Danio rerio: one gene and its partners. The protein of the gene in region 5 interacts with the protein of the main gene of each other region in a pairwise test. Links are inferred from orthologs where the notes say so. Each region holds a gene or a part of one and is shown on either strand. Other genes may lie near its edges. The genes, in order: pelo, hnrnpd, ppm1aa, bag3, hspb1 and stub1.

The links.
Region 1: the proteins of hspb1 (region 5) and pelo interact in binary tests that used the Homo sapiens proteins (3 or more experiments, as listed by UniProt). The link is inferred for Danio rerio from reciprocal best matches to the Homo sapiens genes HSPB1 and PELO.
Region 2: the proteins of hspb1 (region 5) and hnrnpd come close enough for resonance energy transfer, tested with the Homo sapiens proteins (2 studies listed by BioGRID). The link is inferred for Danio rerio from reciprocal best matches to the Homo sapiens genes HSPB1 and HNRNPD.
Region 3: the proteins of hspb1 (region 5) and ppm1aa interact in a two-hybrid assay, tested with the Homo sapiens proteins (2 studies listed by BioGRID and IntAct). The link is inferred for Danio rerio from reciprocal best matches to the Homo sapiens genes HSPB1 and PPM1A.
Region 4: the proteins of hspb1 (region 5) and bag3 interact in binary tests that used the Homo sapiens proteins (3 or more experiments, as listed by UniProt). The link is inferred for Danio rerio from reciprocal best matches to the Homo sapiens genes HSPB1 and BAG3.
Region 6: the proteins of hspb1 (region 5) and stub1 interact in binary tests that used the Homo sapiens proteins (3 or more experiments, as listed by UniProt). The link is inferred for Danio rerio from reciprocal best matches to the Homo sapiens genes HSPB1 and STUB1.

Annotation. Positions count from the first base shown.
Region 1 is NC_133187.1:13,767,628-13,772,541, reverse strand, and holds part of pelo (protein pelota homolog), read left to right. Parts: intron 1-303; coding exon 304-467; intron 468-1,621; coding exon 1,622-1,682; intron 1,683-1,768; coding exon 1,769-1,930; intron 1,931-4,914. UniProt on the Homo sapiens protein: Component of the Pelota-HBS1L complex, a complex that recognizes stalled ribosomes and triggers the No-Go Decay (NGD) pathway.
Region 2 is NC_133185.1:5,487,709-5,493,084, reverse strand, and holds the start of hnrnpd (heterogeneous nuclear ribonucleoprotein D0), read left to right. Parts: upstream 1-1,557; 5' UTR 1,558-1,748; coding exon 1,749-1,909; intron 1,910-5,376. UniProt on the Homo sapiens protein: Binds with high affinity to RNA molecules that contain AU-rich elements (AREs) found within the 3'-UTR of many proto-oncogenes and cytokine mRNAs.
Region 3 is NC_133188.1:34,951,090-34,956,621, forward strand, and holds the start of ppm1aa (protein phosphatase 1A), read left to right. Parts: upstream 1-2,072; 5' UTR 2,073-2,388; intron 2,389-5,532. Other genes in the region: dhrs7 (dehydrogenase/reductase SDR family member 7), read right to left, coding at 382-511. UniProt on the Homo sapiens protein: Enzyme with a broad specificity. Negatively regulates TGF-beta signaling through dephosphorylating SMAD2 and SMAD3, resulting in their dissociation from SMAD4, nuclear export of the SMADs and termination of the TGF-beta-mediated signaling.
Region 4 is NC_133188.1:28,706,832-28,711,745, forward strand, and holds part of bag3 (BAG family molecular chaperone regulator 3), read left to right. Parts: intron 1-3,790; coding exon 3,791-4,099; intron 4,100-4,914. UniProt on the Homo sapiens protein: Co-chaperone and adapter protein that connects different classes of molecular chaperones including heat shock proteins 70 (HSP70s), e.g. HSPA1A/HSP70 or HSPA8/HSC70, and small heat shock proteins (sHSPs), e.g. HSPB8.
Region 5 is NC_133180.1:4,132,101-4,137,542, reverse strand, and holds the start of hspb1 (heat shock protein beta-1), read left to right. Parts: upstream 1-2,228; 5' UTR 2,229-2,292; coding exon 2,293-2,677; intron 2,678-5,442. UniProt on the Homo sapiens protein: Small heat shock protein which functions as a molecular chaperone probably maintaining denatured proteins in a folding-competent state. Plays a role in stress resistance and actin organization.
Region 6 is NC_133199.1:43,371,107-43,376,586, forward strand, and holds the start of stub1 (E3 ubiquitin-protein ligase CHIP), read left to right. Parts: upstream 1-2,207; 5' UTR 2,208-2,453; intron 2,454-5,409; 5' UTR 5,410-5,480. UniProt on the Homo sapiens protein: E3 ubiquitin-protein ligase which targets misfolded chaperone substrates towards proteasomal degradation.

The DNA of each region.
Region 1 (4,914 bases), on a different chromosome or scaffold from region 5:
CAGAGCTGCGGCCCTCCAGGAATTGAGATTGAGACCTATGACCTAAAGGCAAAGTTCATCCAAAAACTTTTGATTTACTCATTATTTACTGTAGTTCCAAATGCTTGTGTGTTGCTCTGCTGACTCTAATGCCAAAACATCATACTGCCTGTATTATACGCGCACCTTGGAAACATTGGTGAACAAAGTCATTCGAGTTTTTTTGGGGGGTGAACAAAGCCTTAAATTTTTTTTTTACGTGAAATACATTAAATTGACGCAATGCCTTAATAATTTCTAAACTTGCCTTTATTAAATCAACAGAGCAGGCATGTGATCCTGCTCAGAAAGCAGATGTGGCCGCTGTCGTGATGCAGGAAGGTCTGGCCAATCTGGTTCTTGTGACTCCAGCCATGACCTTACTAAGGGCGAAGGTTGAGGTCACCATCCCTCGCAAGAGGAAAGGCAGTTGCACTCAACATGACAAGGTGAACCAAACTTCTTTTTCTGTGTCATAAATAGTTTTTATGTATTCCATAATTTTTTTTACAGGCAGGGCTGCACAATTAATCAAAAAAAGGTTGCGATCTCGATCCTACACACAATCTCAATTCAGCTTTTCTACCAGTTATATTTTCATGGTGAGGAGAGAAGCTTAAAGGCGGTTGCACAAATCTTCATATTGTTTTACATACTTTACTCAGCAACATGGACACCTCCAAATGGCATAAATGTGTCACACACTGCATCTACAAGGTATAATTCACCCAAAAATGTTGTTACTGTCATAATGCAATGACGTATTTGCGGCTAAGAAATGACCCCTAATCTGACGAATCTGATGTTTACTACTGATAGGACACTAGCCCGCCAATGATGTTAACTTTAGTGAACAAAACCTGCATAGAGTGTGAATAACAGGTAATAAAGTTGTAAACAGCGTTCAGTTTGTTGCACAGAGTGGTCATTTGGGAGCTGCGGAGAAGGTATGATTAGATTGTATGTTTTTTTTTTTTTTTGAATATTATAATCCAACTTTAGAATTATGAATGGTTGTATTCTGATGTCATCACACTGTGCATTAATGACCAGGACATATTTATGTCTGTTTAAGTCCACCATTCCAAGTCTATACCGAATTAAGCATTTTAACCAACATTAGACCTACACATAGGCCTTATATTGTTGTTTTACCATATGTTTCACAAATAACAAAAATAATAGCCTATTCGTATTAACCTTTATTTTAATGTCTACACAATCGTGAGAAAATTGTGATTCTTGATTTTAAGCAAAAAAAAAAAATATATGATTCTAATTTTAGCCAGAATTGTGCAGCCCAACTGTAAGGTCTCAATTCTACACATTAGCTGTTCTAATGTCAATCCGGTCACATTGACCTATGAAGGGTCCTCATTGCTGAACATTTTCATTTTTTCAGATATTTATAACCTTACTCAGACCTCCTTATTCTGTTAATGCTACTGCATTATTATGATGTTTTTTAAGTCCAAGTTTTTCTTTAATCAATAAGATGTTACTTGCTTTTATGAAACAGTTCTTGTTACAAAAGATGTCTCTCAGTATTTGCATATCTCAAAATAAGATGCTTGTTGCATACTAACACTGTGTTCTCTTTCAGGCATTGGAGCGATTTTATGAGGCTGTAATGCAGGGCATTCTGAGACACTTCAACTTTGATGGTATCATTATTATTATAACTTATTAATAATGAAGATAGAAAGTGGATAAACAAACACGGGCATTTGACTGTATTTGTGTTTTTCAGTGGTGAAGTGTATTCTGGTGGCCAGTCCAGGTTTTGTGAAAGATCAGTTCATCTCGTACCTCTTTAAAGAGGCTGTGAGACAAGACTGCAAACTTCTTTTGGAGAACAGATCCAAGTTCATGGTGGTTCATTCCTCGTCCGGACACAAGTATTCTCTCAAAGGTATATTCAAATTTCATTTTAAATTGATTGATTGATTGATTCATTTTCTTTTCAGCTAAGTCCCTTTATTAATCAGGGCTGAAAGAAGATGACAACTTTATGAGAATGAAGATATTAGTGTTATCTACCAGTAAGAAATTAGCCGGTTTGTTGATTTGTGTGATAAAAATAAGCTAAAAATAAATACTAAGAAAACTGAAGAGATGGTATTTGACCCAAAGTATAGGTGACCATCATCAAGTGATTGTACATGACCTTCTTATCACTCAGTCAGAGACCTATAAGCACTTGGGCATTTACCTTGATAGTTCTTTTACATGAAAAACACACAGAGTGTGTAGATTGTATTTTTTTTTACAGAGGTTACATCTTTTTTTGGAGTTAAAAGAAGCTTATGATGCTGTTTTATGAAGCTGTTCTGGAAAGCATTGTTAGATATGGTATCACAGTGTGAGATCTGTGTACAGATCTATCTGTACAGTGTAAATCTAAGTTTATGGATTTCTTAAGGACAGGATGGAAAATTGTTGGGCATGATGAATATTTTAATTCTCAAGTTTTATATGAGAATTGTGTCCTCAGTTTGGTGGAAAGGATTCTGAATGATCCAATTCATTGTTTTGTTTCCACATTATGAACTACTTCCGTCTGGTAGGAGATATAGAGTCCTAAAGTGTAGGTTGAACAAATATAAGAGAGCCTTCTTGCTGTGAGGCGACAGCCCTGCCCACTGCGCCTCAGCACCGCCTGTTTTTATTTTATATTGATATAAAATATAAATGATTAATGTCTGTGTGAAATCAAAGTTTACTGTGTATATTTGGCTAGCTCACATTATTATTTTTTAAGGTAAATCATTAATCTGTGCAAGTTAATACACTGAAATTTTTTATTTTGTTTTTTGGTAATATTCAATGAAAGTTTGACCCTTTCGCTTATGGAGTTGCGGTCCTTCAGTTCACTTCAACCTGAGGGTCTCCATAGCAACTACATATTAATACCCTCTCTAAAGATTTTTGCACACTGAAGTCCAAAATTTTAGTATGTGTTTTTTTTCGTATTTAAAAGCGAAAAATTCCTTGCACACTGAGCCTGATACGTATTAATTAATCCATTATGAAAACATTTTAAACATTTTCGGAGTCAGTTTTAGCAGTGATACTTTTTTTTCTCTCTCTTCTCCAAAGTAGAAAAAGGAATTGGCAGCATATTGTGTTCATCTAATATTGGATGGAAAGGAAGGAGAGTTCAGCCCATTATCAAAGAGCTGCGCTGAATTATCCCGAAATGCAAAGTTTATTTCTTGAAATCAGTGGAATTTTGATAGATTGCTTGTGATTCTTCACACATTCACATACATAAACAGATCCTGAACAGAGATTGGCAGTATGCTTGGAAATTATAATAGATGGCACATTGACGTGTTGAAGCAACGGACCGGAAAGTGGATATATTATATTATATCTTAGGGCAATACTTCAAATGTATGGACATACACGCACACACGCCAAACAGCAGCAGGGCAGAGGTGCGCCAGTCACTGAATCCAGCATATAGGCCAGGGGTCACAAATCTTGTATATGGAGGTCCGGTGCCCTGCAGGGTTTAGCTCCAACTTGCCTCAACACAGCTGCCTAGGTGTTTCAAGTATACCTAGTAAGACCTTGATTAGCTTGTTCAGGTATGTTTGATTAGGGTTGGAGCTAAAATCTGCAGGATACCGAACCTCCAGGAACAAGTTTGGTGATCCCTGATATAGGGGTTCTGAACTATCTGCTACATTTTGTCATTTTATGCACTGTGTTTGTCATAAAGTTATCTGTTACTCAAATGACAGCAGTCTGTATTTAGCTTTTTGCTTGTAGAGTAGCTGTTTTCATCCACCTATTTTTATGTGCATTTTGGATATGCGCATAAAAAAAAAAAGGTTGATGGAAACGGCAAGATGCGCATAAATTTTGAAAATGTGCATACAAAACATATGCGCATAAGTGAGTAGGATAAACATTTTATTCGATAAGAAAATATGTGCATAAACTAAGATGGAAACACTTTTACCGCACAAATTTCAGTATGCGCATGTGATTATTGTTATAAGAGATCATGTGTTGATAAAAAAGTGTGTAAATAGACAAATCATTTGAAAAGTTGTTTTGTTTGTTCTAAATTGTCGTAACCATTTCAGTATTAGTGTTATTACATTATTAATTACCTCCAGAACTGTCAAAAGTGTCTGTGCCCCCAATTTCACGCATTCAAACACCACCATTTGTTCAATGCGCGTCGGCATCGTCTTCTGAAGCGCAAGCCATTTATTAAATTAGTAAAAGATTGACGCAGCTTCTACCGTAGCAAATATCGTTTTTACTGTAGATATTTGCCTCCAGTTAATCTGGAAGTGACAATTTTTGTTCTCTTTGACTGTTTGGATAGAAACACTGCTTTATTCACACGTCTTTGTTGTGAAATTCCAGTTTTGCTCATGAAATTGATTTGAATATTTGGATGGAAACATAGCTGGTGGCTCTGAACTGTCAAAACACTCTCAAAGTGCTTTTTCGGATGCGAAAAGTGGAAAAAAATCAAACCCGGTTCGATTTTATAATGGACAAAAGTTTTGGAGGCATTGTGTCAATACGATTCACACAACATGAGGTTGAATTAATTGGTCATCCTTTATTTTGATGGTCAGTTTGTTAACTTTAAGTTACATTGCATCTACATGCTAACTAATTCTCATTAAATTACAAGTAGACTGTAAGGTTGGGGTTAGAGTTAGTGTAAGTTGACATGTACTTGCAAACTTTCTTATAGTCAGTCAAATGTCTGTTGAATATCTGTATCAAAACTGTATCAACTGTATCTTCTAATACTCAAATGGGCCATCAAGTGTTACCAATTAAATTTTTAACGTACAAAAACCGATTCAAGCCTCATTCACATGACGAGGAACAAGCAACCGTTTATTTCAACGGAGAGTGAGC
Region 2 (5,376 bases), on a different chromosome or scaffold from region 5:
TTTGTGTAGCCATTTTGCTTTTTTTAGCGTGCCAGAAAAGCGTAAGCGTTTTTCTGTAGGTTTTTTCCATTTTCTCCTCCTGCTTTAACAGGTGATCATAAAGGAATAACATAGAAAAAGTTGATAGCAATGCTAACAGGTAATGTACGGCTAAAAGGGTACAGAGTAAAAGGCGCCTCTCCTTATTTTTCCTTTCTTTCCCTAATTCTGATTATTGTACCTTGTTTGTACCTGCCAGCGGGGACTTCATTGCAGGCCGTGTGTCACCTGACCACGTCATTCTCTGGGCGTCGCACATAGCGGGCAGAGAGCACGGCATGCACGAGAAAGCGCTGTCCTGTGGTATGGTCTCTTCCAACTTCCTGTACCAGCGTAAAACAAACAAACAAAGGAGATTTTCCCCCATTTCATTAAGTTGTTGGTTTTCGTTAACAGTTCCAAATGTTTTTTTCCAGGACTTTGTTAATGTAACCTAAAAGTGATTGATAACTGCTTTGTTGTATGCTCTTTTTTTCAATTGTAGTGCTCTTGTATTTCAGTTGTGGAGCTTCAGTGATTGATTTATTAATTTATTTCTTTGTAATGTTTGGTTTTTGGTTACCTCCCCATGTAAATAATTGCATAAACTCTCTCATAATGCTTGCTTTTTCTTTAGAGGCCATAGAGAACTTCAAATGGGTACACCTCAGTGCTTTTTTCTTAAGCATAGCCTTTAAAGATCATATGTAAAGTGAGTTTTACGAAGCCATTAAAAGCTGAGAAATCTGATTTAAAACAGTTCAAGGATTGGCTAAAGTTTTTAATAACCATACCGTTTACACAGGATAAAGGCTAACCTGTTTGGGCTCGCTCCTCGATTGGTCCACAAACCGCTTGGAGCTGAGGCTTTTGCTGGCTTATGAGCTGTTCTGTCAGTCGGAGACGTTTAACATATGATCTTTAATCCTTAATGATGGTTTTCCTAGTTTAAAATCGACAGCTCAAGAAGTTAAACACTGAAACATGGACGTGCTTTGCTCGAGGTGTGGAAACCGGGTGATTCATCTCTGCTCTCTTCTCTTGTAGGTGGGCAGGTTGACTTCGACATTGCTCCTCGGAGGCAGCTTGTGTGGAATCCTGTCCTTAAACAACTATTAAAAACGTTATTCGGTCCTCTGGGGACAAATCCAGTGTCTAACCTTGTAAATAGCGAGGTGTTTCGTTTCCCAAGTTTGTCTTATTCTGTGCTTTGTTCAGATTGAACCTGTAGGTTTTGTGCTGATGTGTTCTTAAGTCTTGATTAGGAAAAGTGTCCTTTATTTTGTATTTTTAGTTCTTTTCCTGACGTTTTTGGATAAAGGGATTAAAAATTCTGAGAAAACCAATGTTTCTTTGTCGTGTGATTATTTTATACAACATTTATGACTAAGTTTTTTTAAAATATGTAATGTACATATAATAATTCAATATTATGCATTTAAAAGGTTTGAGATAAACAAACTAGATTTCCAGCCCTACAGCCAATGAGCGTGAAGCGACGTTGACGTATTTTGTAACCTTAGTGACGCCATCCCGTTCAACTTCCGGTTCTCCGCCATTTTGTGAATGGACGCCGTTGCCATCGACATTCTGAAATCAGACTAATACAAACGCGAATTTGAGCCGCATTAACACGATTTATAGGCATTTCGCTTCGGTTACGACCTAAGACGTTTTCGTCTGTAGAAACGACTGTAGCCGCGCGTGTTTTCGCCAATAGTTGATCAAATATGTCGGAGGAGCAGTTTCTGGGCGAAGACCCGACGATGAAGATGGAGGAAAATGATGATGGAGAAGGTTTCGGCGAAGAGCAGATGTCGGGGGATAATGGAGGACAGGGAGAAGCCGAGGGCTCCAAGATTGATGCCAGTAAAAATGAGGAGGACGAAGGGTGAGTTTCGGCTCCTGATGCACCATGGGAACAGACTGTAACCGAAGAATAAAATAACCTTGAGTTCATACATCGCTTCCCAATAGTAGTCGATTAGATGAGTAATTATCAACAAGGAATCGTTTTATATTAATTTAAAGTATTATAATCATTGCATTAATATTTGTGGTCATTATGCAATATTAATATCGTTATCAAAAGTGGCCGGTTGTGTAAATAACATGAATATGTGTGTCGGAGTATCGATTGATCGCTTTGCATACGTTTGTAGTAATTAATGTGGACTATCAATTGAAATGCTTTCAAAGCATTTGGTGATTTTAATGTAAATGAAGGTTTATTAAAATGTTTTCTATCTTTTGTTTAAAATATAACTTACTAGTCATATCCTAGTACAGGGTATCTGCTGTGTCTAAAATTGTCTTGAATCTCAAAAGCTAAATTTTAGGCTTTAAGAAGTCTAAATATACTGAAACATCGTGTTGTAGGTCTTAAATCTTTTTAACAGGTCTTAATTTTCCCTTGTTCATGTGTAGCGACCAAATCTAGCCATTAACAGCCATACATTCCCAATCTCTATAAAAGTCGTTTTAAAAATAACATTTATACCATAAAGTTATTATTACTTACAGTAACATTTGTTTAAAAGTTACTGCCAAGGATACTGACCTGACCTATATATTTTCATCAATAAATTATTATTATTGTATTATTAAATTTAAATACAGTGGACAAAAGGTAAAAATATTCAAATGAAAAAAAATCCTTAGCATTTAGCCTTGTATATTTCTAAAATTTCATTCATAATCTTCTTAAAAAATCTTAAATTTAACTTGTTGAAAGCGGCAGAAACCCTGTAATATTGTGTCATTTACATGCATTAACAATGATCAGTTAAATTTTTATTTAGTAAATTGATGAAAGAATAATAAATACTTTAACAGATGTATTGCCCGTCTCACTGTAAAGTGTTCCCTAATATTCGTTTGATAGTTCACCCTAAAATGAAAGACACTCAAATGGTTTCAAACCTTTTTCAGTTGAACACAGAAAAAGATATTTTGAAAAATGTTGCCAAGCTGTAGCCATTGACTTCCATAGCAGGAAACATATACTGTGGAAGTCAATGATTTCCAAAAATGTTCAGAATATCCTTTTTGTGTTTTTACAGAAAAAAAAAACTCATTGAGGTTTGTTCAAGTGGAGGATGAGTGAATGATGACAGAATGTTCTGTTTTGGGTGAACTGTCGCTTTAATGGACAGCTGCAAGTTGACTCATTTTCCAAATACATTTGCCTTTCAAATGCAGCTTTGTCAAATGTCAATTTGACAAAAGCATATTTTGAGAAACTCGGATTTAGAACTGAATGGTGTTTTTTTGTCTAGTATGCATAAATGAATTACTTTATGACAAAACAAGACTGAAATATAATCATCTATGGTCGGTTGCAGAAACTACTTAGACTAGTCATACAAGGTAGTCATTGTTTATATAATTATTATTTCCTATAAAGACTGGTCATAACTACAGGTATACACGTGTAATAGTCAATATGGAAAGTTAATAAACATCAATTATTTTGCTGCTAATCTGCAATGCTAATTTATTTTTAAAATGAAAATTAAATCTAATATTTATGGTTGTTTTAATTTTTGTAAGAAAATAATGAAATGCTTCTGTTAATCAACAGATTCTCTTGACTAGCCTGGAAAGATACTCCATCACAGTTACATTTTCAAATGCACATCATAGACCATTTTATGGGACGTAAACAAAAACAATAGTCCCAATGTATTTCCTGTTTTACATTTTTTATTTCTGTAGCTTTCGAGAATCCAAAAAGAGCCACATATTGATAAATGATGTTATGACAGCTATTTTATCAAGTTACGATTGAATTGCCTCTTGTTACAGTTATGAAATAGTTTGATAACATGCAGGAAATGTTCATGGGCCAATGACATGACCACATTGAAATGGTCTATAAGCGACTCAGACTCAAATGCAGCATTCGCGAAGACGGCATTCAGAAGAGCAGGATTTATTTACAGTGAACCGAGGTGCACTGAGTCTAAAAACACTGTTATCATGAGCTGCTTATGTTAAAAGTCACAGTGCTGCACATCACATTACATATAATTACAACCCAGTATTTGCTGTCTGACAAACATGCTAATCCATATCATGTTCTCAGGCATTTTTAGAATAAATGAAATGAAGTAACCTATTTACTCTACTTTGGTGTGTTAAGTTTATCCCTCCCGAGTTGAAATCTGATTAAAATCAGATAGAAATCACTCTAAAGAGATAAGTTTACCTCAAAATTAAAACGTTCTCACTATTTTCTCAAGCCTCAAGAGATTCCAAATCCAAACCTTTGAGTTTTTATCTTCTGTTGAACACAAAAGATGTTTTGAAGAATGTTGGAAACCTGTAACCATTGACTTCCATAGTAGGGGAAAAAACAAATACTATGGAAGTAAGGGGTTTTCAGCTTTATTCAAAATATCATTTGTTCTGTTCAAGTGGAAGGTAAGTAAGGAATTTGCACTATTTCCTTTTTTGAATTGTTTTTTCTTTTCCTTTAAGGAAAAGTTTTTTTTTTTTGAAGAACAAAAACAATCTAAGCCCACAATAGCATTCATTTATTGTTTCTGGAAAGTTCTCCGTCCACACCATATTGCTTTACTAAACAACGTACATCATGTGACCATACAATGTATGTTCAAGTATAAACAGGAAGTATGTGCTTCACTCAGCATGTGGTTACTAGGCAACTAGGGCTGTGCGATTAATCAAAATCGAATCACAATCGTGATTTGAATCGTTTCGATTAGCTAATCGCAAGAGGCTGCTATATGAAATATAAATTTAACTTCCCCCACCCAGAGCAAATGCATGACTGCCTTCTGTGTGTGACAGTCTTACTAGCCAATTGAGTGAGCTTACTTTTATTCTGCCCAATCAGAATTGCGCAACCGAACTATGCAGAACGCCCACAATAAAAACAAACAGGAAAGCGCGAACGAGTGGGATGATAGCATCTGCCGCTTCAGAAGCATTAATAGACTAATTAATGTTAAAGAAAATAAGCATGTCAGTAATATGGGAATATATTGGTTTCAAAGTCACAGACACCAAACAAAACTTGGTAATTTGCAAGAGCTGTTGCAGAATTGTGGCCACAGCATGAGAAAATGCAACAACCAGCACCTAAAAAAGTACCACAGGTGACGATATGAGGAGCATTTTGCTAAAAATGTAACTAAAAGTACTGCCAGTGACACTCAATCTAGTAGCTAGCAACAGCAAAGTACAATTTCAGAGTTGTTTGCTAATATAATTTAATACTGTTCCTTTTTTTAATTAACACTCACTGCATTTAGCAATAAGAAGCTACGATACAGATTGAGCTGAAGCTTGACTGCAAAATAAATTGCAAATCAAATCGAAATTGCAATATCT
Region 3 (5,532 bases), on a different chromosome or scaffold from region 5:
TATTCATGCCAAAAACATGCATGATAATCCCACTATTGACATTTTTCTACATATAGTACGTAAATAACACACAAAACCACACACATACAAATATCTTTTAATTCAACTACTACATATCCATAAACTGTATTTTTTACACATTACAATAATGACCTCTATACATATACACTAGTTAGGGCACTGATAGTTCGTGTTAGAGAGTGCAAATTCCACATCTTGCAGAAATGCGTCAGCACTTGACTTTGTTGCATAATAAATAGCCCAGAGGTTAATAGATTTATACAGCAGCACATTTTTATACACTGTAAACTACAAACGTATTACAGTATAAAAAGAAATGTGCTCATACTACACAATTCTAGGTGAAATCTGCGGTTTTACCTGGTGTTTTGCCGAACCTGGCCGCCCATAACAAAGTCAGATCAGCGTCGGCGAAAATGAAGCGTATGAACTGCACTAGTAAATAAACTGCGGTCCCAGCAAGACCAACACACAGCCAGCATATATCCATCGAGACACTTCACTTGTTATGCCTTCACAGAGTGACGGAAGCACTGGTGAAACTTGCGCAACCGGAGCGCTGACAAATCCCTGCGCTACAACTTATGACATGCTTAACGGCTTCTTCCGAAACAACAACTACCCGGTAGCGTCTGTGTGTGATTCGAAGTCTTCCGGGTCACATCCCTGTTTCTGGTACTCACTGGAGCAGCTGAACATCGATTATTGCTCTGTTGGCTACATAGACATAAGAAATTATAATATTGTCTGTGGTTGGCTATCTATCAGACAGACAGACAGTTTATAGATAGATAGATAGATAGATAGATAGATAGATAGATAGATAGATAGATAGATAGATAGATAGATAGATAGATAGATAGATAGATAGATAGATAGATAGATAGATAGATAGATAGACAGACAGAGACAGATGGGTAGGTTTTATTCATGTTATGTTTTGTCTTTATTTTAATATATTTATGTTATCAAAAAAGAAAAATGTATTCTTTGTTGTTTTATTGCAGTAATGAAACATTTAAATTTTTTACAAATATTTTTACCCTCAAATAATCTATATAAACATATATGTTATAATTTAGATTTTTAATATATGTGACATATATAAAATTTGCCATTTTCCTATATTATATGTGCATATATAGGGAAACAGATAATTTTATATGTCACATATATTTAAAACCTATATTAAAACATATGTTTATATAGGTTATTTCTGTGTGAGCTCTCACTTATTTGCCATAGTTAAATTTCATAACATGACAATTACATGTGATATAAATTTCAAGTGTTCACACTTACATAATTATTATTATTTTTTTTGCATTTTTTGTTAGTTCTTAGTTAATGCCTTGAAAATATGAGCTAGGCATCATGTATGACAGTTGCCAAAGTGAAATATGAGCTATATAAGACATGTCTTTTATATGCAGGGCTTATATGTGGATATAAAGAAGCGATAGATGAGACCTATATGACCTGTGTATATATATGTACCTCAATTTTGCCTTTATGTGGCATATATATGCATGCATTGTATATATCATATATGTGCATATATACTGCATATAGGTTTCATATATGCACATATATCCTTATATAGGTTGTTCCATGTCGGTACTCACCTTACCTGTTACCTGTTGGAAACCACCAGTAGCCATTGACATCCACAGAAAAAAGAAAAATGATACATGATATAAGCAATGCAATAAACTATTAATTTAGGGCTCAAACCTTATCAAGAGCACATGAAATATATGTTCATCTTTTCACCTAACATATTATCATGCATTTATAACAGTGTTTCTGTTATTACCTGGCACTGAGAGCTTGTTTTCAGCCTCACACATGTTAGGGTTTTTCAAAAATGACCAGTGATAGACAAATAAAAAACGCAGGACAGATGATTTAGAGACAGTGGTGAAAGAATTATGTACATGAAGGAAGGTGCGAGACAGAATGATGTACAGATGGAGGGATGAGGTTGATGGAGGGATGATGATGATGATGTCATTCTTTTAAGTGCGCAGCCCTGCTGAATCCACATCCGGGTCCTGCGCTGTTGCTGGTGTGCAGAGATTCGGTCCCGACCATAGCGGACCAAAACAGCGGTCAAACCCGAACACTTTTCATTTTCCACCAACATTCAGGACGTAGAATAAATGGGAATGATGCATCCCTGGTTTAAACAGATATGGGTGATCCGCTGTTTCACTGACTGAATGCAGAGCAAAACAATCCGCCAGCCTGTCTCTCTCTCACCACCGCCGCGCTCGCTTTATATCTCTCTCTTTCTTTTCGTCCTTCTCTCTGATCTGTTTTTTTACCTCCTTCACCACCGAACTCTCCAGGACTGATTTTTAGGGGGTAAGTGTTTGTGCTCTTGTAATATACCTGTGTGTGAATGACAGAGCTAGCCTGTTAGCATGTTTGCTAAGGGAGTAGGCTGGCGTTGTGTGAGCTCAGCGGTCTGACCTGCCGTGTGTGGCCTGCGCATGGTGCGCTGAGGGCCGCAGGTTTGGCAACTCAAGCCCGCGGATTCACACGATCCTCCAATTAGCATTTAGCGTGCTATTTTGTCCTGGCTCAGATATTGAAAATTATTTTTGTTGGGCACATAGCCAATTATATGTGCTGATTACATGCGCTGACATATTTCATGTTGTTTAAATATTTCGGTCGAATCGATTGGTCCCAAACGTCAACGTTAGCGTGAAGCTAGCATGCTAACAGGCTCGCGACACCATGACGTAATGCGGAATACAGGCGCGTGAACGTGCAGCAGGTCTGCACGGGCAGAATTTCAGTTCACTGCTGTTCAACGCTAAGGGCAAAGAACATTGATTGATCATATCTCGCAGTAAACCATGAATTTACTTTAGTAGTAAACCTAATCTGAGTCTAGATCATATTTACAGTGTGTATCAGTCAAACGCGTACATAGTTCAAGGCTGGGGTTTTGTAAATGGCACTGGTTTTGTGTTTAGACTAAGTCGTAATTGATGTGAGCGGTGAACAATGGTCAGAATGCATCTGTACTTATCTATTTTTAGTATGCGAGTGTGTAGTGTGCTTAGCGGTGTGTTTGCTGACAGCCATACATGGCTGGAAAACCGCTTAATGTGTGTCCGCCTGCCTTTGTGATGGTGTGTGTGTGTTTACACTTGTTTCTTGTTCCTGGTGGCATGCCATGGTTTATTTCTAAAGTGGCCACTGGCATGACAAGACTTTTGTAGTTTCAGTCGTCATGAATTATAAATAGAGGGATTGTGCTGGGTGTGTTACCTTTCGTGTGTGTGTTTAAAGTAAAAAATATTTACAATTTACATTCAAATTTAATGTAACCAGTTGTTAAAATCAGGAAAAAACAAAAATGCCCTTTTTACATAGAAATCTCGGCTCTAACTCGGCTTTCTTGTGTAATGATAAACTTTTGTCTAGTGATGTATGTCTGATTTCTCTATCTATTTAGTTCAGAGGTTCTCAAACTTTTCAGCCCATGACCCCCTAAAATAACAACTCCAGTGACTCACCGACCCCACTATGTTTGGAGGTGGTTATACGCATACAAATATTGCACACAATGGTGCACACACCAGTGGGAACTATATGAACACAAGCATATTGGCAACACAAAAAAGTGCAACAGTATTACAACGATATATATATATATATATATATTTATTATCATTATTCATTTGTTTAATTTAATATTAACCTCATTTAATGCGAATGGTGAGCACAATGTTTATAGCAAAAGACTTAGTTTATATTTGGAGACTTGGAACCACTAGGAGATCATCCTCCTTGTTCAGTCGTGGCCTTTATTTGTAATGTATGTGAGTGCCATTAAATTGTTAGTTTAGTATTGTACCGCAAAATCAATCTGCTGCAACTAACGATATTGCTCTGATGGTAATCTAGCACAATAACCCTAGGGGTCACAAATAAAATATAATAATTGATAAAATATGATAATTTTAATAGTTTAATAAAATATATGAGATTTTTAGAAAGTCACCAAGGTCCCGACAACCACTTAATAAGAAAACCACTGATTTAGTCCACCAAAACCCTACATCTTTCTTCCAATAAACTGCATGCTTGGATTCAGAATCGGATTCCTCCATCCAATCTACAAGCAAATTCCCATTCTGGTTTATTTTTTATTTTTATCTCTTCCACTCTATATTAGAAAATCTATTACTTTTCCATTTTATAACAACTTTAAAAAATATTTACCATCATGTGGTTGCATGTAAAGAATATACTTGATTTTTTTTAAACCAGTATACTTCAAAATCTATAGTTGATATTATTGTACATATTAGGGCTGCATACTTTGTTTCAGCATGGATTTCGCAATATGATAATTTGCAATAGACACATCGCAGGATGCAATGTTGAGTCTGAATTATAAATTTTCATTTGTTTTTGAGGCCTGTGACTATGAGGTTTTTTAAAGCATCCAGGCATAAGAAATTGTACCATTTGGAAGACTGTGCTGTATTATTTGACATTTTATTTTTCAATTACTGCACCACAATATTCTTAGACTCCTCAGAAAATGATAAAACACTGTTTATTTCATTTGTATCATTTTTTATTGCATCCAAGTACACTTGTAGATTGTTTATTATATTTTATGGAGATGCATTCCATACAGAACTATCCCAATCAATCTAAAATGGTATATTCTTTCCAAACAGAGCTATCAAAGCCGTCTGGGAAAGATGTGCTCATATCACAGAAAACTAAATTATATTGTGTTTTGTATTAATTCAGTAACAAAAATCATAAAGGTTTGGAACAAGCGGAGAGTGAGTACATAAAATAAATTCAGAGTAAACTGTCATTTAAATTGGCCTGTTCTATTATGTGCATTTATATGCAAGTTAACTACTCTGTACAACTGTATTGCTGGAATAATAACAAGGTTGTTTGATGTTTAACAGTTATTGCATGAAAGATTATGTAACTTGAAAGGTTATGATGAGTAAAAATATCAGTTTATTTTAGTAGAGGTATATTTTTTATTTTTAAAGATAAGCACCATCCAGCATTATCACTGGACAACTAGATATTGTACACAGAGTTGTTTTTATTTGGGCGAATCACGCAGTCTTTTAATTCTGTCCTCTTGGTACACAAATGGTGATGCTTACTATCTACAGTTATATTGTATTTATTGTTTTAACAATGTGCAAGCTGACTCTGGTTATGCTACTGACTTTTAAAAGCACTCACAGCATGCTGGACCTCAATGGAATGCAGTTAGAATATTTCTCAAAGCAAAAAATCTCTGTATTAGTTTTTTAATATTCACAAGAAATATATGATCTACTTAAGTAGTATCACACAAGCAATAGTTTAGCTTTGCTAAGTATCACAGAGTGAGCACAATTGCAGTTGGAAACATTCTCTTTTTTTGTGGGAATAGAGATGGTTCCAAACAAATCGAGAGCAGAGCTTTTATGTATTTCAGAGAAACAGTGGTGTTTTGTTTCTAAA
Region 4 (4,914 bases), on a different chromosome or scaffold from region 5:
TATGGTGTTGTCCTTCCTCCAGCGTGCAAAAGTAACTCCAATATTGATTCAGACAAATAACAGACAGTTACCTGTAAAATAACATTTATTTTTTACAGAGCACAGTTCACACAAAAATCACTTTAACATAAGCAAAATCTGTGTGGGAAATCTTTTAATGTTGAATTCAATTGAAATGACTGTATTTTATCTGCAAAATTAGTCTGAATACAGTAAATGTGACCATATCTTTTTTATTCATTAGCCCCTTGGTGAAAGCCCCTCTTTTAAATTATGTAATTGTGCTGTTTCAACATCAAAATAGGTGTTTTGTGATGATATGCTAGGGATTTTATCTTGTTTGATGTTTGTTTTGTCTATGCACCTCTAATTTACATTGATGAGTAAGGGAGGCCCTCCCCCTCACAAAGAGTATTTTAAGACACAGTGTCAACAGCACAGAACCCCATTGAAAAATGCTACCTAGAGTGAGTCATGGCATTAGAATCTACAGCATACAGGGTATATCCTGTAAGCCAATGCAGTCGCTTAACAGTTGCTGTGCACAGTGAGTTTTACCCACTCATATTTCATGCTTAAATCCTGGACTGCCTCGTCATTGAGAGAGGGCGGATTGACCTTTGCATGTCAAACAGATGAGAAGAGACGCAAGCCACAGTCGGGCTTTAAGATTTACATTTACTTACTGGAATAATGCAGTGACTCAACACGCTAGCAAGTTGTTGGTTGATTGCCCGCAATAACCTAATATCAATTTACGTTAGACAGATTTACAACGGCTGAAAGTCGCATGTGACTGAATATGACTAGTTGTAAAAGCCTACAACTTGACAGTGATGTGAGGCTAACAGGAAAGATTTAGCAGGTGTAAAATACTGTTAATCACATGACGTAATGCATCATGCCTAATACTAGAGTGACTTTTAGTTCACAAAATGGGCATCATTAAACTGATAGCATTATATAAAGCATTAGTGCCCACTGTTTAACAGCACTGGTATAGCCTCTTTTACCCATACGGATATTTTATAACATCTTTGTTGAAGGGTTGTAAGCTATGAACCAAACTAAAAATGAGGTGAATCCCACAGTTAAAACTGCTTTAAAAGCAAAGAAATGTTTGTAAATCAGACTCAAAGACAAAAGTACAAGAACGGCTTGTAGCATTTCAAAGGACTTAATGGAATTATACTGTAAATATGTAAGTACTATGAGTTGTAGAAGTCTTTTGAGATGGTTTATTCACACAAATAGTGTTTTTTCATGTTGTCTCTACACAAATTGATTAAGTTAACTTAATTGTTTTTACAAGTTTAAGTTAATTGAACATAAAACAATTAAGTTATCCCACAAAACCCCTCAAGAATTGTGTTGATTCAGCTCATTATAAATAAGTAGTTTGAGGAAGCAACAAAATATATTTTTGAGTGTGCTAAGTTAAATAAATGTGAACAGATCCCAGCACGCACAGGATGTCAACATGACGTCAAATTGATGTTGTACTCAACTGTTGTGGGACGTTGCATTTTGTTTGAAAATAAAAATCAACCAAATATCAAAGTCTAATAATTTTGCAGCTTGACGTTGTGTGGACATTACCACCATGACGTCTGTCAGACGTTGGATTTTGGTTCCCGTACCTAAAAAATAAATGTCAGTGTAGGACGTCAATCTGATGTTGGTTGGCTCGACTTTGGTTTTTTGATCACTTTTTAACACAACATACCATCAACCAAATATCAACATTGTTATTGGACCTCACAATATTGTTGTCCTTAGATGCTGGCTAGACAACCTAAATCTAACCTAATAATAATGTCTTATGATGTTGTGTGCCTGCTGGCATTTGTTAAACAAAATCATTGATTAACAATAGTGGAGCTCAAAGATATATTTTTTAAAGAAATCAATGTTCATATTGAGAAAATCAATGAATGAATGAATGGAGTGTTTACTTCCAGAACCACACTGCTGAGTTAAATATTATTTTAAGGGATAGTTCAGCCAAAAATGTAAATTCTGCCATGATTTACTCTCCCCCTTTCTTCTGTTACTTGTTACAAAGGAAGTTACACTGACGAATGTTTGGGGAAAAAAAACTATTGACTTCTATATTATTTTCTGTTCCTAGTATGGATGTGAATAGCTGTTTTTTTAACTTTCTTCAAAATACCTTGTTTTCTGTTTAACAGAAGAAAGAAATTCATAATAGTTTAGAACCACTAAAGTAAGAAAGGCAAACTTCATTTTTGGATAATCTTTAAATACAGTATACTAGACAGTGTCTTATTAATACACAGTGATTTCTTATTATGGCGACACAGTGGCGCAGCAGGTAGTGCTGTCACCACATAGCAAGAAGGTCGCTGGTTTGAGCCTCTACTGGGTCATTTGGCGTTTCTGTGTGGAGTTTGCATGTTCTCCCTGAATTCATGTGGGTTTCCTCTGGGTGCTCCGGTTTCCCCCACAGTCCAAAGGCATGCGGTACAGGTGAATTGGGTAGCCCAAATTGTCCACAGTGTATGAGTGTGAATGAGGGTGTGTGGATGTTTCCCAGAAATGGGTTGGGGCTGGAAGGGCATCCGCTGCGTAAGAACGTGCTGTATAAGTTGGTGGTTCATTCTGCTGTGGCGACCCCGGATTAATAAAGGGACTAAGCCGTAAAGAAAATGAATGAATGATTTCCTATTATGTTTATAAAAGTGTGACTACACTGTAAAAATTCTGTGGTTCCACACAATGGGGTATATTCATAGGCTTTTCTTTTCAGTCAGCCAGGCCCAGGGCTTCTGGTGAATTGTCATCTCACACAAAATCTCAGCGTTTTAAATGTGATTTCTTTAAAAAAAAAAAAAAAACAGTGATCATCTCTGCCTAGCTGAGATACGATATTTAGTAGGTCTCAGACCAAACAAGAAGCACTGCGTTAAATAATATCCGTGCCGTGTCTTTAAAATATGAAAATTTATTTTACCCCAGTATTTTTAATGGAGTTTCTGCGCTAGCCTGCTGCTAATGACGGCACCTGCATCTTTTATCTTTTTTTACGCTTTAACAACTAAATGGATGCTTAAATCTATTTAACTGATTATATTTGAAATACATCACAACATTGATGCTGTAAAAGCAACCTTATGAAATTGAAAATAGTCACATAAACCTTTCACCGGAAGTTCATCATTGGCTGAAAAACACTAGCTGTGCATATAGCCCATTCCTTCATGTTGTCCCAACACAAATCGATTAAGTTAACTTAATTGTTTTTACAAATTTAAGTGGATGAACATAAAACAGTTAAGTTGTCCAAAAAACACAAAAGAATTGTGTTGTTTCAACTCATTTTAAATAAGTAGTTTGAATAAGCAGCAAAAGTTGTTTTATTGAGTGTAGAAATGTTTGTCCCTATTTTGGTTTTTACATTTGCAGCAGTGTTATTTCACAGACAACACCTACATACCATTACCCCTGAATTGTTTTTTTATGTCTTTAGTCATAGCCAAGCTATTGGAGCAAGTCAAAGAATTTCGCCATGATGCTTGTAATGACAGTATTGATAACTGGAGCTTATTCAATAACCCAGTCAACTGCATGCTTTTGTTATTTGCCTTCTCCAAAGCAATTTCACAGACAGCTACTAAATACTTCACAGCTAAAGAGTATCATCAGATGTGATGTTGTTTATCAGGCTTGTGTAGACCGGCGTATAAAGAATTGCTGGCATTACGGTGTGAAATATTTCACCCAATTGCAATGGAAAAGAGTTTGAACTGTTTACGTTTTCTTGTTTCAGATTTTTTCCAATGGTCCTTCAATGTCCCCAGAGACTCCTCAGGACATGCACAAAACCTTTATTAATGAGATGAGGCAGCCAATGCTCCGGCAGGGCTACATCCCCATCCCTGTCTGTCATGAAAACCCTGAACCCAGGCTGCAGCAGTATCCTAGTTTCTCCTACATTCATCCAGCGGTGCAGCAGAATCTGAGAACAGATGGACGTACACCTTCCCCAACGCCAGCAGCACACTGTCGGCCTAGATCTCCAGTGCAGACCCCATCAGAAGCATGTTCGTCTTGCTCACCTACTTCACACGGGCCTGAGGTAAGATCATGAGAAAGCAATCTATAGAAGTGGCAGTCTCTGTCTTGGGTTTATTGGGAAAGGTTTGCATTAAGAGGATAGTTCACTGTAAAATTGGTTGTTAATTTACTTGCCCTTGGGTCATCGAATATGTCGCTGAGATTTTCTTTAGTAGGATTTTAAAGAAAATATTTAGCTAAAACAGCAAAAAAAGGATATCGAGGCAAAACAAAACAGATATCTCCTGTTGATATATTGAGGTTTCGTGAAACGTGAAACAAAACTTCAATCAGTGCAGGAAACTAAATATTATTTACTATTACATTTATGGCACAGCCTAAAGAAAACTTTTAATTTATCTCAGAGTTAAGTCAGAATAAATGAATAGCTAATTTTTTACTTTTATGAAAATTTCTTCATTTGTAAAATCTTCCTGATGCCCTGACTTTTCATTTAAAAAAATGGTGTTTAATAGGGTGTTGAAAAATTACATCTGATGAAAATTGTATATAAGCATTTCATTGCTGAGTCTCTGTTTACTATTTAGCTTATTCATTCATTCATTCATTTTCCTTCGGTTTAGTCCCTTTATTTATCAGGGGTCACCACAGCGGAATGATCCGCCAACTGACTCAACATATTTTTTACGCAGAGGATACTCTTCCAGCAACAACCCAGTACTGAAGATCACCCATACATTCTCGCATTCACACATACCTGTACACTATGGCCAATTTAGTTTATTCAATTCACATATACCGCACGTCTTTGGACTGTGGGGCAAACCAGAGGACCCGGAGGACATCCAGACAAACATGGGGAGAATATATATATAT
Region 5 (5,442 bases):
AAATGGGCTGATTAAAAAACAAACGAATATAACTTTTCAGTTGTATATATATAGATCATTGCAATGTTGGAACTAGATTATAGACATTTATATTCACACACAGGGATGCCAGCAGCAACAGCACAGGTGTGATTGAGCAGCTGTTGTTATTATAAGGCTGTGTTTCTGCTGAGTCGCTCTGTCTGTGTCTGCTGTTCAACAATCCTCACATTCCTGCTGTCCACACACTGCAGCCTGTGTTTGTGTTTGACTCCAGAAAGTAAAGCTTTAACAGCTCTGCCTTTTTGGGATGCCTACTTTATCAAGTATGACATATGAATTAGTGGTTAAAATAAAATAACTGGTGGCTCAATGGTTAGCACTGTGGGTACTCCGGGTGCTCTGGTTTCCCCCAAAGTCCAAACATCATATGCACTATAAGCGAATGGATGAACTAAATTGTCTGGTGTGTGTGTGTGTGTGTGTGTGTGTGTGTGCGTGCATGGGTGTTTTCCACTTCTGGGTTGCTGCTGAAAGGGCATCTACTGAGTAAAACATTTGCTGGAATAGTTGGTGGTTCACTCTGCTGTGGCAACCTCTGATAAATAGGGGACTAACCCAAAGGAAACCTACATTCATCTTTACTGCTTTACTATTATTTATCTTCCAATATATGTAATGCAGTGGTATTTTGAAAACATTTTTAAGTGTGCCAGAGTGTCCAAAAACCTTATGATAGTAAGGTTTATAATATAATTAAGTATAATATAAATAAAGGTTTGCTCTGCTTTTTTGTTTTTTGTTTTGATTTTGCTTGTTTTGATTTTGTTTGTTTTGTTTTGATTTGTTTTGGGTTTAGATTTGATATGATTTGATTTGTTATGTTTGGTTTTGATTTGTTTTAGGTTTTATTTTCATTTGTTTTGGGTTTTGATATGATTTGATTTGATTTGGGTTTTAATTTGATTTGACCTGATTTGATTAAATTTGATTTAATTTGATATGATTTAATTTTGTTTTGGTTTTATTTGTTTTGTTTTGGTTTGATTTGTTTTGGGTTTTGATTTGATTTGCCTTAATTTGATTTTATTGCATTTGATTTGCTAAGCTTTGTTTTTGATTTTATTTTATTTGATTCACTTTGTATTTTGTATTTTGTTTTTGGTTGATTTTCACTTTGTATTTTGTTTTTGGTTGATTTTCACTTTGTATTTTGTTTTTGGTTGATTTTCACTTTGTATTTTGTTTTTGGTTGATTTTCACTTTGTATTTTGTTTTTGGTTGATTTTGTTTCATTTCTTTTGCTTTGCTTTGTTTTTAATTTGATTTGGTTTGCATTTTGTTTTGGTTTGATTTCCTTTGTTTTTGTTTTGTTTTTTGCTTTGGTTTGATTTAGTTTTGTTTTGCTATATAATAACATAATATAATATACAGGCAGGGTGTGTGAAAAGTGTTTATATACAGTCAAGCATTAAATTATTCATACCACTAGCCAATTCTAACTCAAAGTTTTTGTTCAAATGTAAAATGTAAAAAATAAAACACATAAAAATTCTGCATTGAAAAAAAAAGTCCATGATTTCAATGGTTAAAAATGCTACGGTAAAAAACCATAACGATTTTTGTAAATTATACAGTATTAACTGTGGTGTGAACTGTATTTTACTATACTGTAAAAAAAAATAATAATAATAATTATATATATATATATATATATATATATATATATATATATATATATATATATATATATATATATATATATATATATATATATATTTATTTATTTATTTATTTCACACAGCTCTACAGTTTCAGACATTTCGAATAATTAATACAAAATAATATAAAGATAAATAAGTCTGTAAAATAACAGAAAATGTAATAAGGGCAGTTTATTATAAGGTTTTTGCAGCGTAATATACAAGACAATACATCACTTTAAACTAAAATAATAATAAAAGTCAAGGTTCAGAGTTGTTAAAAGAAAGATCAAGCTCCCAAAATGCAATTCAAAAGTCACAAAATACAAAAAACTTGAATTCACCAACATATTGTTCACAGTCCAGTATTAAATACACACTATCAGCCTTTGCCTCAGATTCCTTCCTCATGCGAGGGCCGTCCCTGAATAGACTTTCTAGTCACTTCTATAATTATCCGGACGGGACTGGGCTGTTGCAGAAGTGTCCTGAAGTGGGTGTGTCCTCCAGAAAGCCTTCTTATAAAAGTCCCAGCCCCATGCAAACAATCAGAACACACACACACACTCTGAACCGAGCCGAAAAACAACTCTTCAAAACTTCTGCAGCAATGGCCGAGAGACGCATCCCATTCTCCTTCATGCGCAGCCCGTCCTGGGACCCGTTTCGGGACTGGTATCAGGGCAGCAGACTGTTCGATCAGTCTTTCGGGATGCCTGCTTTATCTGAGGAGATGTTGACGTTTCCCAGCACGCACTGGCCAGGGTATATGCGACCATTCGGACACCCCGAATTTGCTTCTTTAATGCAGGGCCCACCTGTGATGCCTCCTATGATGACCCCGAGTTACGGACGAGCCCTTTCTAGACAGCTGAGCTCTGGGATGTCGGAGGTCAAGCAGACCGGAGACTCTTGGAAGATCAGCCTAGATGTCAATCACTTTTCCCCCGAGGAGCTGAACGTTAAAACCAAAGACGGGGTGCTGGAGATCACTGGTGAGTTTATTTGGTTTGATTGCATTTTGATTTGATTTTAATTAGATTTTCTGATCTTTTTGTTTTGATTTGATTTAATTTGGTTCCATTTGATTTGATGTTAATTTATATTGTTTTAATTGAATTTGATTTGTTTTAATTCTGTTTGATTTTATTTTTTATTTGTTTTGTTTTGGTTTGATTGTGTTTGATCTAGTTTGATTCGGTTTGATTTGATTTTACTATTAATTTGATTTGATTTGATATTATTTTAATTTGTTTTGTTTTAATTTGATTCTGTTTGATTTGATTGCTTTTAATTTAATTTCAATTTATATTTTAATTGAATTTTATTTGTTTTGTTTTAATTTTGTTTGATTTGATTTGATTCCATTTTAATTTATTTTATATTCATTTAATTAGTTTTGTTTTGATTGTTGAATTAAATATCATTTAATTTATTTTATTTTACTATGTATTATTTAAATTTTGTTTTGTTTTAATTCTGTTTGATTTGATTCCATTTTATTTTTCATCAGTTTAATTTGTTTTGATTTGATTTGATTCCATTTGATTTGTTTTTTTTCTGTTTGATTTGATTCCATTTTATTTTATTCTAATTTATATTATTTTAACTTGATTTGTTTTGTTTTTATTTGAAACTGTTTGATTCTGTTTGACTTCATTTTATTTTATTATCCATTTATATTGATTTGATTCAATTGGATTTTTATTTTATTTCATTATCCATTTGATTTGCTTTATTTTCTTTTGATTTGATTTGAGTCCATTTGATTACATTTTATTTATATTATTTTAATTTGATTTTATTCTTTTTGATTTGATTCCGTTTCGTTTGGTTTGATTCTGTTTGATTATTATTTTTTATTACAAAATTTTGTATTATTATGTTTTATTCTATTTTATTTTATTTGGTTTGATTTCATTTTATATTATTTTATTTCATTTTGTTTTGATTTGATTCTGTTTGGTTTGATTGAATTTGATTTGGTTTGATTTCAATTTATTATCTTTTTTATTTGATTTCATTTATTATGATTTTTTAAAAAATTATATTATTATTATTATTTTTTTTAATTCTGTATGATTTGATTCAAATTTAATTTTATTATCCATTTAATTTAATTTTATTTCATTGATTTTACATCATTTTAATTTGTTTTGATTTGATTGCATTTGTTTTGGTATGATTCTATTTGATTTGCTTTAGATTTTATTACACATTTGATTTGATTTTAATTTATACTATCTTAATTTTAACTATTTGTTTGGTTTTTATTTGAGACTGTTTGACTCCGTTTGATTCTGTTTGACTCGATTTGATTTCATATCCAAATTGCAATTTTTATCAAAATAAATTATTAAAAATATAACTTTTAATAATTTTGTATTTAATTTAATGTCATGAATGTTTATCACTTATTTACAGAATGTCTTCGATATTGTATCTAGTATCATAATTATGATATTATTTAAATTGGCAGTTTTAACTTCATATATTAAAATGATGACTTTTTCCCCAATATTTGACTTTATGACAGTGTCTTTTTTGGCTTAGTCAGACCTTTTAATCACGACTTGTAAAATATGTTGGATTAAAAATGCTATTCAAAATAATAATGACACCCCCCAATGATTGTGTTTGTCCACATTTGATCCAACTTTGTGTTTTCCAAAGCATGCTTTATTATGTGCACAATTACAGGCTTGAGTGAGGAAGAGAGGTGGTCAAGTGTGAAATAAATGCATGAATAACAGGCCTTGCTGGGAGACCTTTTGTATTGTGTCGGGTGGGAGCTGACAAGAGCAGCCAGCTAAATTCCTGAGATATTACGACGCCGGAGCCAAGCACAGTTCAAAACAGCATCTGCAGGATATTTAGAGTTGAACAAGGATAAAGCTATACACTAAAAAAATCTGCATCCTCAACCTAAGGCTCGGATGTTTAGTTTACCCAAAAATGACAACTGTTTCATCATTCACTCACTTGTTTTAAACCTATTCGACTTTCTTTTTTCTGTTGGGCATAAAAGAAGATATTTTGAAGAATGTTGGAAACCTGTAACCATTGACTTCCATAGCATTTGTTTTTCCTACTGTGGAAGTCAATGGTTACAGGTTTTCAGCTCTCTTCAGAATATATTCATTTGTGTTCGAGAAGAAAGAACATTTAAAAGGTTTGAAAAGGTTTTGTGTGAACTATCTCTTTAATACTCTTACTATAAAACATTAGCAGTAAAATATAATCTTTAAAATGCTAATTTCTTTGCTTAAACATGCATTTATGCAAATATATGCTCTATAAATACAAGTTTGACTATTTTTCTAAATATTTTTATCATTTAATTAAAAAAAAAAGTTACAATTGGAACTTTGCAAGAACATATTTATTTAATATCTAATACATTTAAGGAATGAAGCATATCTTTTTTAATGCAATTCTCCACTTAGCCTGCAGTGGACAACCTTTCTGGCTATATTTTCAATTATTAAATATGTTAATATGGCAACATATTGCGCTCTTCAGACTTTACATGAATAAATCTGACAGAGACTCCTCCCCCTCCCCATCAGTCACTAATAAACTGTATTAAATACCTTAGTTATTACTACAGTAAACTGTGGTGTATTGTAGTATAAAGGGACTTTGACTATAGAGTTTGATTCAAAACACAGTATTTACTATGAATTACCATATTTAAACTTTAAATATATAATATTCTGTTCGTTTTGATTTAGTTTGATTTAATTCAGCTTGATCGCAT
Region 6 (5,480 bases), on a different chromosome or scaffold from region 5:
GTCGGCTGAGGTGGCTCGGGCACCTGTTTCGGATGCCTACCTAGAGAGGTGTTCCAGGCATGTCCCACGGGGAGGAGACCTTGGGGGACACGCTGGAGGAACTATGTGTCTCTGCTGGGCTGAGAGTGCCTCAGGATCCTCCGGTGGAGCTGGAGGAAGTGTCTGGGGTTCTGTCCTAAGACTGCTGACCCTGAAAAAGCGAATGAAAATTAATAAATGAATTTAATTGCATTTAGAAAAAATTCACATGTTTTTTTTTTTTGCACCTACAATATGATGCAAAAAACGAACTTTTTTTTATTCTTCATGAAACTAAAAACAAAATTCAGGCTGATTTTGGAAGTTTTGTGTAATTGTACATATGAGAAAGACTAAATTTCACGTTTTTCTAGGAGAATTAGAGACATTTGATGTATTTTTATATTACTGTCCATGGCTAAATTATGTAGTTACATAAAAAAAATAATGTTAAAGGAAGAAATTATGGCATTTTTTGTAATTATTAATTTAAAAATGAGCAATTAAGTCTTATGAGTTATTTAAAGGTCAAATTAAAAGGTAAAAAATAGAAATGTCATACTTAAAATCATACAAAAACTCAAAAGTACGATTAGCTTAAGTAGAAATTAAATCATTGCACAATATCTTGAACATTTTTAGTTATTAAATTAATCATCACAAAGAAACTGCAAATGTAGAGTAATTAATGATAAAACTAATGAATTATGTATTATAATTATTCACATTTGTTTACATATACTTTTCTACTTGTCGACTGTTCATGTTGTCCTCATTAAAGTGCATTATATGGTTTATGAACTGAAATGGTGTTTGGTGAATGAGGGCTCTTTTACTGTTTCTTAATGTTAATATATTATTTATCTGAATGTGTTTGGTGTTCAGCAGGAAATAACATTACAACATGAATTTGAGTACATTTATTATTATTCACATCATTTTCAGCAAACTCATTGTTTTGCACCTAAAATATGATGCAGCTATTTTGGGGGGACTTTAAAATATCTCTAAACAAAAACTGAATACAAAATTCACATTTTTACAGAAGAATTAGAGACATTTGACTTATTTTTATAATAAAGTCTATGACTAAATTATGTAATTACATGAAAAAAAAATTTAAAGAAGAAATGACGGCATTCTTCATAAATGTTAATTAAAATGAGCAATTATGGCTTACTCTGAGTTATTTAAAGGTCAAAATTATAAATAGGGTATTAAAAAAAAGAAATGTTATACCTAAATCAAAATTAGAAGTGATAAGAAAGCACATTATCTTGAACATTTTTAAAGTTTTAAAATTAATAATCACAAAAAAACTAAAATGTAGAGTAAAAATGATGATAACACTAATGAATTATATATTATCATCATAATTATTCACATTTTGATTCATGTATTTTTTCTACTTGTCTTACTTGTCGACTGTTCATGTTGTCCTCATTTAAGTGCATTATATGGTTTATGAACTGAAATGGTGTTTGGTGACTCTTTTACTGTTCTTTAATGTTAATATATTATTTTTCTGAATGTGTTTGGTGTTCAGCAAGAAATTATATTGCAATCTGAATTTGAGTATGTTTATTATTAAATTATTCACATCATTTTAGCAAACTCATTGTTTTGCACCTAAAATATGATGCAGCTTTTTAGGGTGACTCTAAAATGTCTCTAAACAAAAATTAAATACAAAATGCACATTTTTACAGGAGAATTAAAGACATTTGATGTATTTTTATATTAAATTATATAGCTAAATTCTATAACTACATGAAAAAAAATATTTAAAGAAGAAATTAAGACTTTTTTTGTAATTCTTAATAAAAAATGAGCAATTATGGCTTACTCTGTTACTTAAAGGTCAAAATTATAAATAAGGTATTAAAGTCATAAGAATTAAAAGTCATTAGAAAGCTCAAAATTATATGCTGAAGTAGAAATTAAGTCAGTTATTTATATTTTTATTACATGCTTTTCTAGAACACTTTTTAAAATGTGTAACCGGAAAAAAACGTGTAAAATGTAGAATAAATAATGATAATAATCAAGCATTATTATTATAACTGTTTTCATATTTATTTATATATTTTATCTAATTATTATTATTATGAAATTAAACTCCTGCACGTCGCCGACAGGTGGCGTTATTACGTTGGCAACGAGCTTCCGATCGTCACCTCCGGCGACGTCACAGTGACGGCAGAGTCAAAACAACCGAAACATGATGCTAGCGTCTCACACCCGCGGGTAAAATGTCGTGTTTTTGAGGATCGCCGATGAAAACGTCGGACATTTGTCATCTTAATGTCATGATCGAGTCGGAATATGAGTTTGGCCGCGTTTCATTCGCTATCAGGGATCCAAAAGTGATCATCAAAGCACCAGTGTCGCTACCGGTTTGCTAACGACAGGCGTCAGTCCAGCAGTCAAACCCGGTACGCCTCAAATAATCCATATTTCATATTCAAACCATCTGATTTAATCTCTAAGCGTGTTTATTCTCAGCGCTGACCTGGTTGTTAGCTTGTAAAGTGTGTGTGAATGTGCTTATGTGTCAGGCACAGGAGTTTAATTTCTGATCGACGTGAAATTACATTTACTCGTTGGTAGTGCTTAATTTTAGTGATTAACTGTTGGATTGTGTGTGTTTTAAGTTCACAGAGCTGCATAAAGAGTCATGAATGATTTCACACAACTGTCAGTGTCCAGATGTGTGTTACTGTTGTCCAGATGTGTGTGTGTGTGTGTGTGATGTACATTAAACAATTCATTTTAATCATTTCTACTATATGAACAGCAGCTCTACAAAAGGTGCACGTTAATACATTTCAATCAAAATCAGAAAAATGTAGAGTATACACTCACCGACAGGAGCTTAATGCATTTAGGCATGTAGACATGGTCAAGACGATCTGCTGCAGGTCAAACCGAGCATCAGAATGAGGAAGTAAGGGGATTTGAGTGACTTTGAACGTGGCATGGATGTTGATAACAGACATGCTGGTCTAAGTATTTCAGAAACTGCTGATCTACTGGGATTTTCACGCACAACCATTTCTAGGGTTTACAGAGAATTCTCCGACAAAGTGGAAATATCCAGTGAGCGGCAGTTCTGTGAGCACAAATGCCTTGTTGATGCCAGAGGTCAGAGGAGAATGGCCAGACTGGTTCCAGCTGATAGAAAGGCAACAGAAACTCAAATAAGCACTCGTTACAACCAAGGTCTGCAGAAGAGCATCTCTGAACACACAACACGTCCAACCTTGAGGCGGATGGGCTACAGCAGCAGAAGAGCACACCGGGTGCCGCTCCTGTCAGCTAAGAACAGGAAACTGAGGCTACAATTCACACAGACTCACCAAAACTGGACAATAGAAGATTGGAGAAACGTTGCCTGCTCTGATGAGTCTCCATTTCTGCTGACACATTCAGATGCTCGGGTCAGAATTTGACGTCAACAGCATAAAAGCATGAATCCATCCTTCCTTGTGTCAGCGGTTTAAGCTGGTGGTGGTGGTGTATTGGTGTGGGGGAGATTTTTTTAGCACACTTTGGGTCCATTAGTACCAATTGAGGGTCGTGCAAGTTTTTGCAAGATACTTGTATTCAGCATTTAAAGGCTTAATTATGTTAACTAGGCAAGTCATTGTATAATGATGGTTTGTTCTGTAGCTAATTGAAAAATATCTTGATTTCTGTAGCGCTTTTACAATGCAGATTGTGTTAAAGCAGCTTAACATAGAAGATTATAGTGATATAGTGATAGTGTAAACTGTCAGTCCAGTTTTCAGAGTTGGAGTTCAGTTTAGATTAGTTCAGTGTGGTTTAATATTCAATACTGAGAGTTCAAACACTGAAGAGCAAATCCATCGATGCGCAGCTCCACAATTCCCAAACCAAGCAAGCCAGTGGCAACAGCGAAGGAACAATCTTCACCAATTGACGTGATTGAAGTGAAGGAAAAAACCTGGAGAGAAACCGGCTCTGTTGGGCACGACCATTTCTCCTCTGACCAAACTGCAGAAAAGCAGTCTAGGCGCCGGAGGCTGGAGAACGCTGGATGTCCATCGTGGAGAAGATGCAAGTGTGAGTAGGTCACCGGCGTGTGTTCAGGCTGGCCCACTTGATAAATGTGAGGACTTGTTTGTCACTGGGGTGATTCAGGCATCAGTCTTATGCTCTCAGCTCCTCCATGACAACCACAATATCTGCCAGGCCCGGATTGGCGAACCGAGAGAATTCCTGGTGGGTCGGTCCGTTTTTTGGCCGTGAGGGCCAGTGTCCCTAGCTGCTTGCACTCTCAGCAGTCACACTTTTTTCATTTATTTATTTATTAATTTGACCATAGCCTCACTCTTTTTTTTTGTTTTTCATTATTTTGCCGCAGCGCCGCTCTTTTTATTTATTTTTTTTCTTGCTGCTCCGTGAGCAAAATGCAGCCTGCAGGTTTACTAACGTTAATGATGATGTAACTAATCATTCGACCCCAAACAGTGGCACCTTAGTGATTATAAGAATTTGAATAATTAATATTAATGAATAATACACCTGCTCAATGAAAATCAGATGATTTACTACATTAAATCTGACAAAACTTGATCAGAAATCTAAAAGGAGAAAATGATTTAGCCATCAAAGTAATACTATGTCTTGCCGTTCACAGTGTAATCTTTATTTTTTATTCCCACTGGAATAGCGCCATTGTGGTCCAGTGGAAAGCACGTTGCGTTGCGAAACTTCCGACCCATGTTCGAATCTCACCTGAAAAATTATTATTATTATTTTTCGTTTTTATGACATAATACTGTAAGGGTTGTTGAACATTTGAATTTCTAAAGCAGCTGTTTTCTCAAAAAAGATGTGATAGTGTCATTAGAAACTGAATTGGAAATGACCTTATTTTAATGTAATCAGTCGAGGTGGGCTGGTCTGGCTTGAAACTCCAGGGCTGAAAATGAGTCCCACTCCGGCCCTGATATCTGCTCAGGATACGGCCTGGTCCAGGATTATGGAGACCTCTAGAAGTGCTCTGCGGTTGGCATCATTTCTTCACAGGTCTTGGATCACATCAATGGCGCTGCACAATCTCTAGAGGCCTCGGGATGAGTATCCCCAGGTGGAAATAGAAAATAAAGAAAATAATTAGCGTAGCTGCTGTTCATAGTGTATTTAAACAAGAGATATTAAAAATCAATGCAAAAATCAAGAGCTATAAATGAAAATAGCACTTATATAAACATAAAAACAAACACGCAAAGCATATCATTGTTTCTAACAAACTGTTTTGAATGTATATTCTTATGGTGGCTAATAAAATTGACCCCATAAGAATATTGTTATGATTTTGCACCTGCATTACTGTGGCTCATATTTTCCTTGTGTGTTTCTGAGAGGTTTGCAGGTAACTGGCTCCCCGGGACCGGCCGGTGCTCACCGAAGAGACGGGGAACAGGATTGGGAAG